Linked DNA regions of Stegostoma tigrinum. The protein of the gene in region 2 purifies or fractionates together with the protein of the main gene of each other region. This does not show direct contact. Links are inferred from orthologs where the notes say so. Each region holds a gene or a part of one and is shown on either strand. Other genes may lie near its edges.

Region 1 (8,164 bases), on a different chromosome or scaffold from region 2:
CAGGGTCTGGTACGGCAATCCTCCCATTCTCTGGTCAGATTCACTCCATCCCAAAGGAGCAATCTCTCCACCACCCTCCCCCTAACCTTCCCTGCTCCTCAATCACTCAATCTTACTCCCTTCAGACCCATCATACATCAACTAAGCCCCTTTCCTCTCCTTCTCAACCATAAGATAGGCCATTCAGCCCACTGAGTCTGCTCCACCACTCAATGAGATCATGGCTGTTCTGATAATCCTCACCCCCACCTTCCTCCCTTTACCCCCCACCCCTTGACTCCCTCACTGATCAACCATCTGTCCATCTCAGCTGGAATGTACTTCATGACCCAAGCTCAACAGCCATCTACGGTTAAGAATTCCACAGATTCACTACCTTCACAAGAAATTCTGTCTTAAACGTGCAACTATTTATTCTGCAACGACACCGTCGGGTCCCAGACCCTCCCCAAGGGGAACCAACCTTTCCACATCTACGCTGTCGAGTCCTTGAGCAATCTTGCATATTTGCCTCGCACTCACCTAAATTCCAGTGAGTATACACACAACCTCATAACACAGAACAGTCCCTGTTGCTGCTCTGTTCTATAGCCTATCTTACAGTCAGCGGCATACAGCACAGAGACAGGCCCTTCTGTGAAACTCCTCCATGCTGACCAGCCTTCTTAAACCGAACCAGTCCAACTTACAGACAGAGGGTCCCGCAGCACAGAGACAGGCCCTTTGGCCCAAACTGGCCCATGCCAACGTAAAAGTCTATCCACGCTAACCCCATTTCCCTGCACTAGACCTTTCTAAGCCTTTCCTGCCCATGTGTTTGTCCAAATGCCTGCCAAATGTTGTTAATGTACCCGTCTCACCCACTTCCGCTGCCAGCCCATTCCATATGCGTACCACCCCCTGTGTACAAAAAGGTGCCCCTCAGGTTCCCAAATACCCTTTCAAGTTTGAGAGAGATAATTGCTCACACTCAAAGCCATGCTCGCCTTCCCTGATCAGTCCTTGCTTTTCGAAATACTGTAAATCCTGTTCCTCAGGATCCCCTTCAACAACTGATGCCAGGCTCACTGGTTCTCTGGCTTTTCATTGCATCTTTACTTAAATCACAGTACACTGTTAACACCCTCCAGTCTCCTGGCACCTCACCCATGACTGTTAAAGATATAAATATCTCTGCCAGGGGCCCAGCAATTTCTCCCCCAGCTGCCCACAATGTCCTGAGATACATACAGCACGGAAACAGGCTCTGGGGCCCAACCACGCCATGCCGAACATAATCTCAAACTAAACCAGTCCCACCTGCCTGCCCCGGCCCGTATCCCACCAAACCTTCCCTATTCATGAACTTATCGAAATGTCTTTTACATGTTGTAATTGTATCCACATTCACCACTTTCTCTGGCAGCTTATTTCACACACAAACCATTCACGGTGTAAAACAAGGGCCCTCATGTCCTCATAAGACGACGACGCCCTTGTCCTGAAATGCCCTGAACCCTGTGCTCAGCTTCCGGGGACTAATCTCCCTGGTATGTTTGTTGTTCTCTCAGCACCTCCAAATGTGTTTTTCCATTTAAGTGGTATTCAGCTCCTTATCCCCCCGGCCAAACCGCACAACGTCACATTTTCCCATTTTGTAATTCACCTGCCAAGCGATTCCGCCGGCCCCCCCCCCGCCCCCGCAAGTAAATATCTCAATAAGCCCCTGCAGACTCTCTCTCTCCACACCACCACCCCCGCCACATCAGCTTGGAGGACCCTCTTATACCCCAAGTCACCCCGCAGGCCTTCTTAACCGCCGCAATATCCCCACAGACACATGTCTCTAACCCCCATATATCCCTCTGCACACCCTCCCCAACTCCCGGACTCATCCCCCCAACGTCCTCTCAGAGTCGCGTCCTCCCCCCTGCACTCCCCCTCCGACCTCCATATATCCCTCTGCACACCCTCTCTGACCCCAGTACCCGCCTGCACACCCTCTCTGACCCCCATCCTCCCCCTTGCGCCCCCACATATTCCCCCCGTGCACCCTCCCTGACCCCCATACTCCTCCACCCTGCACACCCTCTGAGAGGCCCGTCCTACCCCCCGCGCTCCCCCTCCGAGCCCCACATGTTCCCCCGCAAAACCTCTCTAACCCACATACGAAACCCACACTCCCCCATCCCCCGTACACAATCACCCCGATGCCCTAATATCCCCCAAATACCCCTCTCTAAACCCCATGCCCCATATTCCCCCAACGCACCCTCTCTGACCCTAATACCTCCCCCATGCCTCCTGCAAACCCTCTCTGACCCCCATATCCCCCCAACGCACCCTCTCTGACCCTAATACCCCCCCCATGCCTCCTGCAAACCCTCTCTGACCCCCATATCCCCCCAACGCACCCTCTCTGACCCTAATACCCCCCCCATGCCTCCTGCAAACCCTCTCTGACCCCCATATCCCCCCAACGCACCCTCTCTGACCCTAATACCCCCCCCATGCCTCCTGCAAACCCTCTCTGACCCCCATATCCCCCCAACGCACCCTCTCTGACCCTAATACCCCCCCCATGCCTCCTGCAAACCCTCTCTGACCCCCATATCCCCCCAACGCACCCTCTCTGACCCTAATACCCCCCCCATGCCTCCTGCAAACCCTCTCTGACCCCCATATCCCCCCAACGCACCCTCTCTGACCCTAATACCCCCCCCATGCCTCCTGCAAACCCTCTCTGACCCCCATATCCACACCCCCCCCACCCCCGGTAATTACCTCCCCAGGATCTCGATGTAAACCACGGCGGGGCCTGTTTTCTCCACCACATCCGCGATGAAGTTGAACTTGAAGCGGGGACTGTCTGGGGGAACGGGCCGAGCGGCCTGTACCTGGGGGAGAAACAGCGCGGGGAGCCCGAGGCGTGAGGGCGGCCTGGGCTCTGTGCGGGCCTCGGCCTCCCGCTCCCGATCCCGCCACAGTAGCAGCAGCAGCGCCCCGGGGCCCAGGCCCCACCAGGTTTTGGAGTTAGAGCCTGCACCGGGCTCCTCGCCATCGGCCCAGGGCCTGAGCCCACACGCCAGTGCACGGAGCCCGGGCTGCCCCCCGCGGCCCGTCCCCAAGGCCCGGAGCCCGGGCCCGAACCAGCGGAGAGAGCGGGCAATGGGCGCCGCCATCTTGGAAACAAGAAGCAACTTTATTAACACCGTGTGGAGGTGAAGGGTCAAAGGGCAACAGGGTCAGGGTAATAGAGTGAGGGTGATAGGGTAACAGGGTCAGGGTAATAGGGTTAAGGTTATATGGCAATGGGGTCAGGGTATTAGGGTAACAGGGTCAGGGTCATAGGGTAATAGGGTCAGGTTAATAGGGTAACAGGGTTAGGGTTATAGGGTAACAGGGTCAGGGTAATAGGGTTAAGGCTATAGGGTAACAGGGTTAGGGTTATAGGGTAACAGGGTCAGGGTCATAGGGTTAAGGCTATAGGGTAACAGGGTTAGGGTTATAGGGTAACAGGGTCAGGGTCATAGGGTTAAGGCTATAGGGTAACAGGGTTAGGGTTATAGGGTAACAGGGTCAGGGTAATAGGGTTAAGGCTATAGGGTAACAGGGTTAGGGTTATAGGGTAACAGGGTCAGGGTAATAGGGTTAAGGCTATAGGGTAACAGGGTTAGGGTTATAGGGTAACAGGGTCAGGGTAATAGGGCCACAGGGTTAGGTGATAGGGTTAAGGTGATAGGGTAACAGGGTTAGGGTTATAGGGTAACAGAGTCAGGGTAATAGGGCAACAGGGTTAGGGTGATAGGGTGGTAGGGTTAGGGTGATAGGGTAGCAGGGTTAGGGTGATAGGGTAACAGGGTCAGGGTAACAGGGTTAAGGTGATAGGGTAACAGGGTTAGGGTTATAGGGTAACAGGGTCAGGGTAATAGGGCAACAGGGTTAGGGTGATAGGGTTAGGGTGATAGGGTAGCACGGTTAGGGTGATAGGGTAACAGGGTCAGGGTAACAGGGTCAGGATAATAGGGTTAAGGTGATAGGGTAACAGGGTTAGGGTTATAGGGTAACAGAGTCACGGTAATAGGGCAACAGGGTTAGGGTGATAGGGTGGTAGGGTTAGGGTGATAGGGTAGCAGGGTTAGGGTAATAGGGTAACAGGGTCAGGGTAATAGGGCAACAGGGTTAGGGTGATAGGATAGCAGGGTTAGGGTAACAGGATCAGGGTGATAGGATAACCGGGTCAGGGTGATAGGGTAACAGGGTCAGGGTAATAGGGTAACAGGGTTAGGGTGATAGGGTGGTAGGGCTAGGGTGATAGGGTAACAGGGTTAGGGTTATAGGGTAACAGGGTCAGGGTAATAGGGCAACAGGGTTAGGGTGATAGGGTAGCAGGGTCAGGGTAATAGGGTAACAGGGTCAGGGTAATAGGGTAACAGGGTCAGGGTGATAGGGTAACAGGGTCAGGGTTATAGGATAACAGGGTCAGGGTAATAGGGTAACAGGGTCAGGGTAATAGGATAACAGGGTCAGGGTAATAGGGTAACAGGGTTAGGGTTATAGGGTAACAGGGTCAGGGTAATAGGGTTAAGGCTATAGGGTAACAGGGTTAGGGTTATAGGGTAACAGGGTCAGGGTAATAGGGTTAAGGCTATAGGGTAACAGGGTTAGGGTTATAGGGTAACAGGGTCAGGGTAATAGGGTTAAGGCTATAGGGTAACAGGGTTAGGGTTATAGGGTAACAGGGTCAGGGTAATAGGGCCACAGGGTTAGGTGATAGGGTTAAGGTGATAGGGTAACAGGGTTAGGGTTATAGGGTAACAGAGTCAGGGTAATAGGGCAACAGGGTTAGGGTGATAGGGTGGTAGGGTTAGGGTGATAGGGTAGCAGGGTTAGGGTGATAGGGTAACAGGGTCAGGGTAACAGGGTTAAGGTGATAGGGTAACAGGGTTAGGGTTATAGGGTAACAGGGTCAGGGTAATAGGGCAACAGGGTTAGGGTGATAGGGTTAGGGTGATAGGGTAGCACGGTTAGGGTAATAGGGTAACAGGGTCAGGGTAACAGGGTCAGGATAATAGGGTTAAGGTGATAGGGTAACAGGGTTAGGGTTATAGGGTAACAGAGTCACGGTAATAGGGCAACAGGGTTAGGGTGATAGGGTGGTAGGGTTAGGGTGATAGGGTAGCAGGGTTAGGGTAATAGGGTAACAGGGTCAGGGTAATAGGGCAACAGGGTTAGGGTGATAGGATAGCAGGGTTAGGGTAACAGGATCAGGGTGATAGGATAACCGGGTCAGGGTGATAGGGTAACAGGGTCAGAGTAATAGGGTAACAGGGTTAGGGTGATAGGGTGGTAGGGCTAGGGTGATAGGGTAACAGGGTTAGGGTTATAGGGTAACAGGGTCAGGGTAATAGGGCAACAGGGTTAGGGTGATAGGGTAGCAGGGTCAGGGTAATAGGGTAACAGGGTCAGGGTAATAGGGTAACAGGGTCAGGGTGATAGAGTAACAGGGTCAGGGTTATAGGATAACAGGGTCAGGGTAATAGGGTAACAGGGTCAGGGTAATAGGATAACAGGGTCAGGGTAATAGGGTAACAGGGTCAGGGTGATAGGGTAACAGGGTCAGGGTGATAGGGTAACCGGGTCAGGGTAATAGGGTAACAGGGTCGGGGTAATAGGGTAACAGGGTCAGGGTTATAGGATAACAGGGTCAGGGTTATAGGATAACAGGGTTAGGCAGAGGAGACAATGGATCACTGGTCCCACGTCTTTCACTTTCCAAACCAACACCCCCACTTGGAGTAAAATTATTTTTTATTCCCTCACACAATATGAGCATCATCATCTGTGGGACCATTTATTGCCCTGTGCCTAGTTGCCCCGTGAGAAGGTAGTGAATGTGAGCTGCCTTCTTGATGACCTGCAGTCCCCCTGCCCTTGTTGGGGGGGATTTCCAGGATTTTGTCTCAGTGACAGTGAAGGAACGGTGATATATTTCCCCGGGGCATGGACAGGGTGAATAGACAACCTCTTTCCCCCAGGGTAGGGGGGGGAGTTCAAAACCAGAGGGGCATAGGTTTAACGTAGAGGGGAAGGATTTAAAAGGGGCAACATTTTCACGCAGACGGTGGTGCGTGTATGGAATGAGCTGCCAGAGGAAGTGGTGGAGGCTGGTACAGTTACAACATTTAAAAGGCATCTGGATGGAGACATGAACAGGAAGGGTGTAGACGGATATGGGCCAAATGCTGGCAAATGGAACAGGGTCACATTGAGATGTCTAGTTGGCACAGATGGTTTGGACTGGCTTCTTTGCTGTTCGGCTCTATGACTGTCAGTCAGGATGGTGAGAGGCTTGGAAGGGAACTTGAAGGGAATGGTGTTCCCATGTATTTGCTACCCTTGTCCATCTAGACTGAAGTGGTCATGGGTTTGGAAGGTGCTGTCCATCTTGGGTAAATTGCTGCAGTGCATCTTGCACACTGACCATATGATAAGAGATAGGAGCCATTCAGCCCATCGAGTCTGCTCCCCCCATTAAATGAGATCATGGCCGATCTGATAATTCTGAACCCCACTTTGGTACCATTTCCTGTAATCCTCAATTCCCTTACACATTAAGAATCTGTCCAAGATGCTGCCTAACTGCATCAATGGTGGAGGGAGTGAATGTTGAATATGATGCCAATCAGGCTTTTGGAGTCGTGTTTCTTACGCGTTCTTCGGTCTCAGTCAGTGGGGAGTTTTGCATCATGCCCGTGCCTTGGGGAGTCATACCTGACTCATAGGAATCTGGTTGTGGTTGTGGGAGGTCAATCATCTCAGCCCCAGGACATCTCTGCAGGAGTTCCTCAGGGTAGAGTCTCAGGCCCAACCATCTTCAGCCGCCACATCAAAGACCTTCCTTCATCATAAGGTTGCAAAATGTTCAGCACCAGTCGTGAATTCTCAGATAGTGAAGCTGTCTGTGTTCACATGCGACAAAATGGGGTGCTGGGCTGACAAATATGACGTGAACCAGCTAAGGCTGGAATAAGGAGGCCTGAGAGTAAGTAAGAATGGAACTAAAACAAATAGTAATGTGTTCTTCAAGCATATTAATAGTGAAAGATTAGTGAAGGATAGGGTTGGACCTATGAGGAACAAGGAGGGTGAGTTACTCAATGAAGTAAAGGGTAAGATAGAGTTACTAAGTGTGTACTTTGCTTCTGTCTTTACCAAATCAAAAGATGGTGACAATGGCCAAGTTATAAATGTGAACATTGAGCAACTCAGCAGTATAGTGTGGAGCTGGATGAACACAGCAGGCCAAGCAGCATCTTAGGAGCAGAAGGGTCTAGGATCTGGTGAAGGGTCTAGGCCCGAAACGTCAGCTTTTGTGCTCCTGAGATGCTGCTGGGCCTTCTGTGTTCATCCAGCCTCACGTTTTATTATCTTGGATTCTCTAGCATCTGCAGTTCCCGTTATCTCTGAGCAGTTTAGTGATAGACCAGCAAGTGTTTCTAACAAGTCTGGCAGGAGCCCAGACAGCCAAGGCACCCGGCCCAGATGGGATCCTAGATTGTTGAGAGAGTCAAGGGAGCAAATTACAGAGCAATTGATGGAAATTTTCCGATCGTCTGTGGACCCAGGATTAGTCCTGTGGGACTGGAGCATTGCAAACATGACATAGTTGTTTAGGAAAGAGACAAAGGATAATGTGGGAACTACAGAGTGGAAAACTGGTGGGAGCCCACTGTAGTGGAGAATGTAAATATAAGTTAATGCCAGACCGTCAACATGGGCTCGTCAAGGGCAGGCTATTGTCTGACAAATTTATTTAGCATTGTTTGATAAGGTGAGACACGAAATGGATAGAGATAGTGTCATAATTGTAATGAGATCAGCCTCATAGAACATGAGTTTCCCTGATTGGGGTTGTTAATCTGGTCCAATCAGGGAGCCCGGGCTGACAGATATAATCAGGAATATCAGCACTTCTGAGGAAGCTTGCTCAATGTTAGGTACTGTGCATGTGTAAATAAAGGGCGACTCGGTGGTGTGCTACCAGCCTGAGTGGGGTTATTTCAGGTGGTGCTGTGAATGTTGTATGCTTGGGCTTTCAGGAAGTGTTGGATATAGTGGGTTGGTTAGCAAATTAGAAATGGATTGATGGGTCCTTGGCAGCATAGGTTGGCAGCTGGCTAAA
Region 2 (8,120 bases):
AGTGTAAACATTTCCTTATTACGCACCACTAAAAGCCAAAATGCTCACCAAACAGAATAATTACTTGGAATATATTTTAAAGAAGCTTCATAATTCATTTGCCTCTAATTAGTTGACATATTTAACATTTTGAAATTGAAAATTTGAAATTAAAACATCAATTTTTGAACAAATTTGGTTTTCATTAGAATAATATTTGCTACACTAAGATTAAACAACACATGATTTTAAATCTATGTAGGCTCAACTACAGCAAGTTGAAACTATAGACATTTGAGAAAAAAACAATTGTGGAAATCAGTTGGAATATCTTGGGAATTTGGACATGGCTAAGCTACATTAATTTACCTTTTTTGTAGTCATGTGGCTTAAAAATACCAGAGAGTCCTCCGATGCGTATACCACGGTAATTTACCACACCAGCATACCCTCGAAACAAATAACATATGTTACTCTAAATACACATTTTGAATAAGCCTACATGCAGTAAGTCACACATTCTTTAGCATTTATTTGCTATAAACAAAATCAGCCAGTTCTCTTAAATTGTCGCTGTGTTACTATACAATTGCTTTTTCACTTTAGGCAGAATCATTGACAAATATAAGGCAAGAGAAACTATATTCATATTGACTCTGCATAACTCGTTTTTAAAAAAAAAAATTCACCGAGTGAGGGAGTTGCTGGCTAGGCAGTGTTTATTGCCCATCCCTAGTTGTGCACATTGCAGTTTCTTTCCCTACAGCACTTTAGTGAACATTATGGATTTTTCCAACAATTGACAATGGAGTCACGGTCATCATTAGACTCTTAATTCCAAAATTCCACCATCTGCCTTGGCACAATTCAAACCTGGGCCCTCAAAACGTTATCTGGGTCTCTGGATTAACAGTCCAGCAGTAATATCACTAGGCCATTGTCTAGTGTCATGTGTTAGATGATGCAAACCATGTTGTCCTTCTAAACTCCCCCTCTATCACATGCACAATGACCCTGAAATGTTGACAACTCCATACTGACAATTTTATTCATCATTTTCAGAATATATACTGAGCACTGTCAAAGATATTTCCTAGATAAATGGACAACTTTAAAATTGAGACATGACAAAGACTTGCTTCCATCTTCCCAAATAAAGCATATGATCAAATATCTTCAGCAAAATTAAGAAACAATTAATTCTGTCATCAGACAACACATTGATCTTGAGGCCTGACATTGTAATACATATGTATTCACTACATAAAAACGTGAGAGATTTAATACCTAAGTAGTAAATGTTTGGTGCCACCCATCCTCCATAAGGCAACTCCTGTAAGTGATTAGAGGCTTCGTGATTGCCTCCTATGAAGATGGTAAGAACAGGGGCTTTCTTTTCTCCAGAGTAATATCTACATGTAACAATTCAACAAATAGCATTTAACTTCACAAATAGCTCACTTCGAGACAAAACTTCAATTGTAATTTACTGGTGTGTACTTCTCATTAGGTATAAAAACTCTACATGGAAATTTTAAAAGACATTTTATATTACAAACAGTAACAAATGCAAATGCTTAAATAGCAAGCATTTGAATACAATAGCTTATACGAGAGAATCAATCTTATAAACAAAAATGAGTGCTTAATTTAGAAAAGGACAAAGTAACAAGGTGATACAAAAAAAGAACAACCTTGAACACCTACTTACTTGTAGAAAGTTTGCATTTGTCTGTATTTAACGGGTACAGCCATGCAAATCATGTCAGCTTCATTCCTGACTGCTTGAAAATCTCCACAGCACAACAAGAGGTCCACCTTAACATTGTCCTTTTTCTCCAAAAACTGAATACTCTCATAGATTTTGTCCAGTTCACCATGGCAGCAACCTTCTACTGCTACCTTCATTGTAACAGTGTGCAAGAGCTTGCACTACAAGTTCCAATGAGCTGGGTGTCTTTAGGAGCAATCTCCCTTCCTGGGCCCTATTTAAGCACGCTCATGTCTCAGTGTACTGACCCAATTAAACTATCATAGATTCTGAAATTAAAGAAAGGGCAATATTTATTAATTACTGAAGTTAAATTTACAGATACACACAAAACACAGCTTTTTATTTACTTGCAGGCTGTTAAATAGTCATAAGGAGACTCAAAAAAGGAACGTTCATATACACTGAATTTTCAAAGACCATTTGACAATGGAATTGACAGGTAAAGTATGACTGCTTCAATTCAAGCAATGAACTACTTATAACTGTCAATGTCCTATTAGGCCTGGATTCTGAATCAAACTATTACAACATATTTTTTAAATTATCACTGTTAGCTTAATAACTCACCAGAATGGCAAAATAGCAAAACATGCCTATTCCTACAAACTATAAACAATATGATAAACAGTTTCTCTGAAAATATTTTGTATGAAATAACAATCAGACATTAATGAATTACAGATACTAAAAACTTAATCCTATCAAACAAGAATACATTCATAGACTTAAGTTTGGGGGTAAAAGTTTAAATTCTTATTCAGTTCACTATTTCAAAGCATGGCAATCTGAATAACACAAATTGCATCTGTAAATGGTAGCATTTAGTTTAAAAAAAACTGCAATTAGATGTATTTTAGGTTCAAGCCTGAGATGCTAAATCCAGGTCACTAACAAAGCATATCAACATCTCTACTGAATTTACCAATCCCTACTTCAGAGGCATACTTCTGAAAGGCAGTTATGTTAAAACAGGATTATACTTAGTCATGTTCAGCTTGTGATGAACTACACAATCTGACAGACAATAAAGGTAAAGTCACCATAGTCCGACAGGACTATAGAGCTGCTCTCTCAGACAGACATACAACCTGTAGTGAGTTTAACCTGAGGGTAACCAAACTGCAGCAAGGTTAAGGGGCATCATTCATGGTGACCGCAGCTGGCACAGGAATTGAACTGTTGAACACTGCTGGCATCATCCCAGATTGCAAAACAGCCATCCAGCCAACTGAGCTAACCAACTCCTGACAGCCAATAACAAGGAATCATCACAAGGGAATGTCTCACACTCGGACAACCAACTCACAAACCTTAAACATTAGAGACAACGCCCTGCCTGCTAATGTTGTTAACTCAGCCACATTAGGGGCATTTAAACAGACCTTGGATAAGCAGATGGATGATGATGGGATAGTGTAGGGGGATGGGCTTGGATTGGTTCACAGGTCGGCGCAACATCGAGGGCCGAAGACCCTGTTCTGTGCTGTATTGTTCTATGTTCTAAAAAAGATGTGAAGAGGATAAACAATAACTATATCCAACAAGCTTTATAGGAACTCTGAGCAAAAATCTTACCATGTTTTCAAAAAACCCCACAAATTTAAACTGTTAATATTAAACATCAACTGCAGTAGTACCCCCACTATCACTAAATCCTGCTATTTGAACATGGAGGGATGACTAATTTCTAATTTTTACTCCAAGTTTTTTTGTGACAGGGAACGTTATAATCTAGATGATTCATTTAATCAATTTTTTCAATTATGTTAAATCTGTCTGATCAAATTCTAAAAATTGAGATACTGGCAAAAATAAAAAGGTGATCCTTACAATTGTTTTTTAAAAAAGAGAAAATCTCATCTTTCTCCCATTAACAGCACTGTCAGAAGTTATTCAGAGAACTAGCTGCTGCCAAGTGCTATTCTGAAATAGCAACTCATCAGGTGCATTTCTGCTGGAAATGCAAGCAATTTGACTTGGGATTCACAATCCAGCCTAATCATTAATACTTGGCACTTGCATGCAAACTTTCTGCAATCAAGATCAAGGACTCTAGCCAACTGTTTAGCCCACAGGACCTTAAGCCAATGCGACAAATAACCTAGAGAGTTAAGCAAACAGTCGTCTTATCTGTCCATCTCAGAAGTACATTGAATGAATCATCAGCTGAATTTAATAAAGGCTTTCAACAGGGACTGGAAATTAGAGAATTTGTTGGGTAAACAAAAGGCCAGTGGCAGATGTAAAACATTGCGCACCCTGGGCCTAATTCAATGATCTAAGGTTATTGTTAAAGCGAACACGGATGAAGAATTTTCAGTGAATTTAAAATCTACCTTTCCTGACTTTCCAAACAAAAAGAAACAGAAAATGCAGCAGTTAACACAAAGCTTTTGATTCATTTGAAACAATTCAAATTATTGACCAGCATTATTTCACTCAAAAATAAGGTCACTGGGATTCATCACCACCTCAATACATTAAAATAAGTGTCAATATCAACAGCAAACGCATAAATAAAATGCTACTCTACGTCCAGGCCAGCTCCCTCGGGAAATCGCGTCAGAACCATTGATTTAATACCAGAAGTCAATGAGACAGATGACAATACAACACTGTTGTGTGCATAATTATTCTCAGGCCTGTAAATATCAGGGAGCCATCAGGTGGTTTTCAAGGAGAGTTCACTGAAATATATAGCGACGCAGCGACTAATATCTTATTCGAAACCAAGCCCAGCACTTTTTTTAAAAATGATACATTCTCCCAGTCTTTGTGGAACCTCGTCGGCCCTCCCTTCGGACAGATTACGGGCGTGGAAGCAGAGGTGAGCCATTTGACTACTGGGACTGGGACTGGGACTGGGGCGGGGGGGGAAGATTTGCTTTTTTTGAGAAACAAAAGCAGAAATTGTTGGCAAAGCTCAGGAGGTCTGAGGAAGAGTCACCGAGGGCCGAAACGTTAACTCCTGACTTACCGCCAGACCTCCGGAGCTTTTGCGGCACTTTCTGCGTTTGACTCCGATGTTTTGAGGCCGGGCTTCACTCGCGCCCGCGATCTATCTCCCCCTGCCCCTCCCCCGGCAACCCCGGGCTGGACGGTAACGGGGAGGGAGTGAGAGAGAGAGAGAGGGGCCCTCGGTGGCGGGTACTGAAAAAGCCTGTTCCTCCCTCAGTCAGGCCTCGAGGGCGCCCATCAGGAGGTACACTCCGACTCAGTCCGCCGCTTCCTACCTGCCCTCCCTCGGGACAGATGGATGGGTGGCGGACGCTATAAACCGCACTCGAGAAGCCCCTACCGGACAGCCGCCCGCACGGTGCCAGCGCGCATGCGCCACCCGTGCCCTACGCCTCCTCCCCCTCACCCACACAAACCCTCCGTTAAAGTAAACTCAGCACCGGGAGCGCCGCAACATTCAACACTTTTTTTACTCGAAACGGGAAACAGAAGACAGAGAAAAAAAGTCAGCAAAACAAAAAAAAACCTTCCGAAAATCGACCGGCGAAATAAACATCCACGACCAGAACAAACAAACTTGTTAAATAATCTCAAAACCATCACTTACAGCTCATCCGAATCTGCTGGCAATGGATAAGGTAAATGTAAATCGTTCCAAGCCTCACTTTCAACTAAGTTGATGTTTGGGTAAATTTAAAAAAAACAAAATCTGTAAAAAGAGCTAGTGGCCGGGCAAGGCTGCAACGTCTGTCATGTAAAGGCCTGGTAGAAAGTACGGCTATAGTCGTGCGGCTGCGCAATGCAGTGTTGCTGGGCCCGGACGGAAAGGGAAGGAGCAGGGGCGGGGCCGGTATCCGTTGGAGCGGGTGGGGCTAGCGGAAGTGCGTGAGGCTGGGATCTACTGTGAGGGTGTGCCAGGGACGGGTCTGGTGGGAGGGTTCGGGATTTTTTTGAAACGGGTGGAACTGGGAATCTGGTGGGAGGGTCAGGGGTCTGATGGGCGGGGCCAGGAGCTGAAGGGAGGAGGCAGGAAGGGTGCGGGGCGAGGGCCGAGAGCTGAGAAGTAGGGGCCCAGGCGAGGGGGCGGGGTCAGTGGGTGGGGCCGGGAGAAGTGGGCAGGACTGTGGGCGGGGCTAGGCAGGGCGGAGAGTGCAAGTTCTGTACGGGTACAGCCGAAAGGGGCGGTCTGTGGGCGGAGCCGAGAGGAGGGGGCAGGGCTAGGGACGGGTCTGGGCGTGAGGGGGCGGGGCTTGAGCCGCGGTGCTGCCGCTGCGGAAGATGGCGTGTCTGCTGGAGGCCCCAATGCGGATGAGTGTGCTTTCGGTGAGTATGTGATCGTCCGTTCGCATCGACTCGGCCTTCTTTAGGCCTAGATTGGGCTGTGATCTCTAAGTGGATGGTCGACATGGTCTGGTGTGGGAGGTGGGCGGTGTTTCCATGCCCCTGCAGCTCCTGTGTTTTAATGTTAGACCTCCGGGAATAGAGCTGCAGGTTTGGGCCTGAGAGTTGCTGTAAACCTGCCTCCTTTAAAATATAAATCGCTAGCTTCCATGCATCCCTCTGACCGTTTAATATTCGATACGCAATCGTATAAAATTGGATGCATTTAATTACACATTGTGCCTTTGTTTTAAACTTTGTGTTAAAATCTAATTGGGTTCAAAGCGGACATGTTTATTAATACCGTATCCATGTTTACACTTGCTATTCGGCACTGGCCATTCCCTTAAATCGCAATTTCTTTAATTCAGAAACGAGCAACTGATAAGAGTAGGAATAGTCATGTGCGACCCAGAAGGAGGAGGCCATTTGGCCCGTCCAGTTCATGCAGGCTACCTGGAACAATCCAGTCAGTTCTGTTCACCTGGTCCTGCAAGTTTATTTTACTTTAATGCCAATGAATTCCAGTTTGATATCATTTATTGTCTCTGCATCCGACACTTCTAGGCAGCAAGAACCAACTCTTCACGACTAGTGCGTTAAAAAAGTCCTTCCTCACATCCCAGAAAAAAAAGTTCTTCTAATTGTGTAAATATGTGCAAATGAATTGGGATGGATAGTGATTATTTCCTGCATCCATTGCCACTTCTAAGTTCAAAGATCTTTATTAGCTGCCTGAAAATGCTTCACTGCCCAGAAATCTGCACATTACAGGCTGACTTAAACGTTGAAATTAAATTTATGTAGGAACAGAACTATTTGTTGAGAATCCAAGTAATAAGAATAAAAAAATGAAAATGATAATTGTGCATCAATGGTTGAACTCTTGCTTCTGAATCGAGTGTTACACTGTTGGAAATGCTGAAGATAGTTTTGGAGTTTCCTCTGAGGTGGGACAAAAGGATCCAGTATACTGAAGGAAAAGCATAGAGCACTTCTCCTTGATATCTAGACTAATGTTTATCTGACCTGAATCAGGTTTTCTGTGACAAAGGCAAAGGCAATCTGTTCCTCCTTGTTCTTCTCAACTGACCTGCAGCCTTGAACACAATACAATACATCACATCACCCACTACTTCTATCCACCACCTCCTCTCTCCCCCTGTTTATTTCAGAATCTCGTCCCACTTCCCCATTTCTTAAGAAGGGTCTAGGCCCAAAACGTCAGCTTTCCTGCTCCTGTGATGCTGCTTGGTCTGCTGTGTGTGTTCATTCAGCTCTACACCTTGTTATCTCAGATTCTCCAGCGTCTGCAGTTCCTACTATCTCTGAAACACCTTCCAGTGTCTTACCACTCTCCGTAGCGCGACAGGACTATACTCACATGGTTTCAGAGAATCAGCTCTCTGTTGTCAGAGAATTACTATCGTTATCTTCTCTTCATTTTTCTGCACAGTCACCTCTGTTGCCCATCTCTCCCTCTTCCTCTCTTTTTCATCCCCCAAAGGAATTTATCTTTGATTCACTTTTAATTTTCATTTGCACGCTATCTCAACAGAAACATCCAAAACTATATCAGTTTACATAAGTGTACACGGATAATGCCAATTTCTATGTCACCAGCATCTCTGTAAATTGTCAGACTGCATATTCATATGTAGCACCAGACAAGGAGATGTCTTCTCCCATTAAATATTGGAGACAATTAAGTAATTGGCTGTCTTTGAGTGATGCTATAAACTCCCTTTCCTAACCACTACCCTGTTTGTTTGAGGTTTAACTTTGCAACTTTGTTGTAGGTAGCCACAAAATGATCTGTCAGGTGCACAACTGCCATCGTTAAGGCTGCAACTTCTGTTTACATAACATCATCTAATGCCTCACTTTGGCTCCTCCACTGCTAATACTGTCATCCATATGTTTATTGCCTTTATTTAAAATTCTTATCCTTGTTTTCAAACTCTTTAATGTCTTAACCTCCTATGTCTGTAATCCTCCCAGCCTCCCAGAGATATCTGTGCTTCACTAA

The links. Proteins that work in one complex are often made in the same cells at the same time.
Region 1: the proteins of armc8 (region 2) and serine protease HTRA2, mitochondrial-like purify together in Homo sapiens (affinity purification with mass spectrometry; 5 studies listed by BioGRID and IntAct, with this or other methods). This does not show direct contact. The link is inferred for Stegostoma tigrinum from reciprocal best matches to the Homo sapiens genes ARMC8 and HTRA2.

What each region holds. Positions count from the first base shown.
Region 1 is NC_081354.1:188,103,127-188,111,290, reverse strand, and holds the start of serine protease HTRA2, mitochondrial-like, read right to left. Parts: upstream 3,179-8,164; 5' UTR 3,162-3,178; coding exon 2,764-3,161; intron 1-2,763.
Region 2 is NC_081360.1:29,304,981-29,313,100, forward strand, and holds the start of armc8 (armadillo repeat-containing protein 8), read left to right. Parts: upstream 1-5,094; 5' UTR 5,095-5,318; coding exon of another isoform or gene 5,319-5,325; 5' UTR 5,326-5,340; coding exon of another isoform or gene 5,341-5,349; exon of another isoform or gene 5,350-5,542; intron 5,543-5,932; exon of another isoform or gene 5,933-5,989; coding exon of another isoform or gene 5,990-6,034; intron 6,035-8,120. Other genes in the region: dbr1 (lariat debranching enzyme), read right to left, coding at 349-429, 1,267-1,391, 1,691-1,887. UniProt on the Homo sapiens protein: Component of the CTLH E3 ubiquitin-protein ligase complex that selectively accepts ubiquitin from UBE2H and mediates ubiquitination and subsequent proteasomal degradation of the transcription factor HBP1.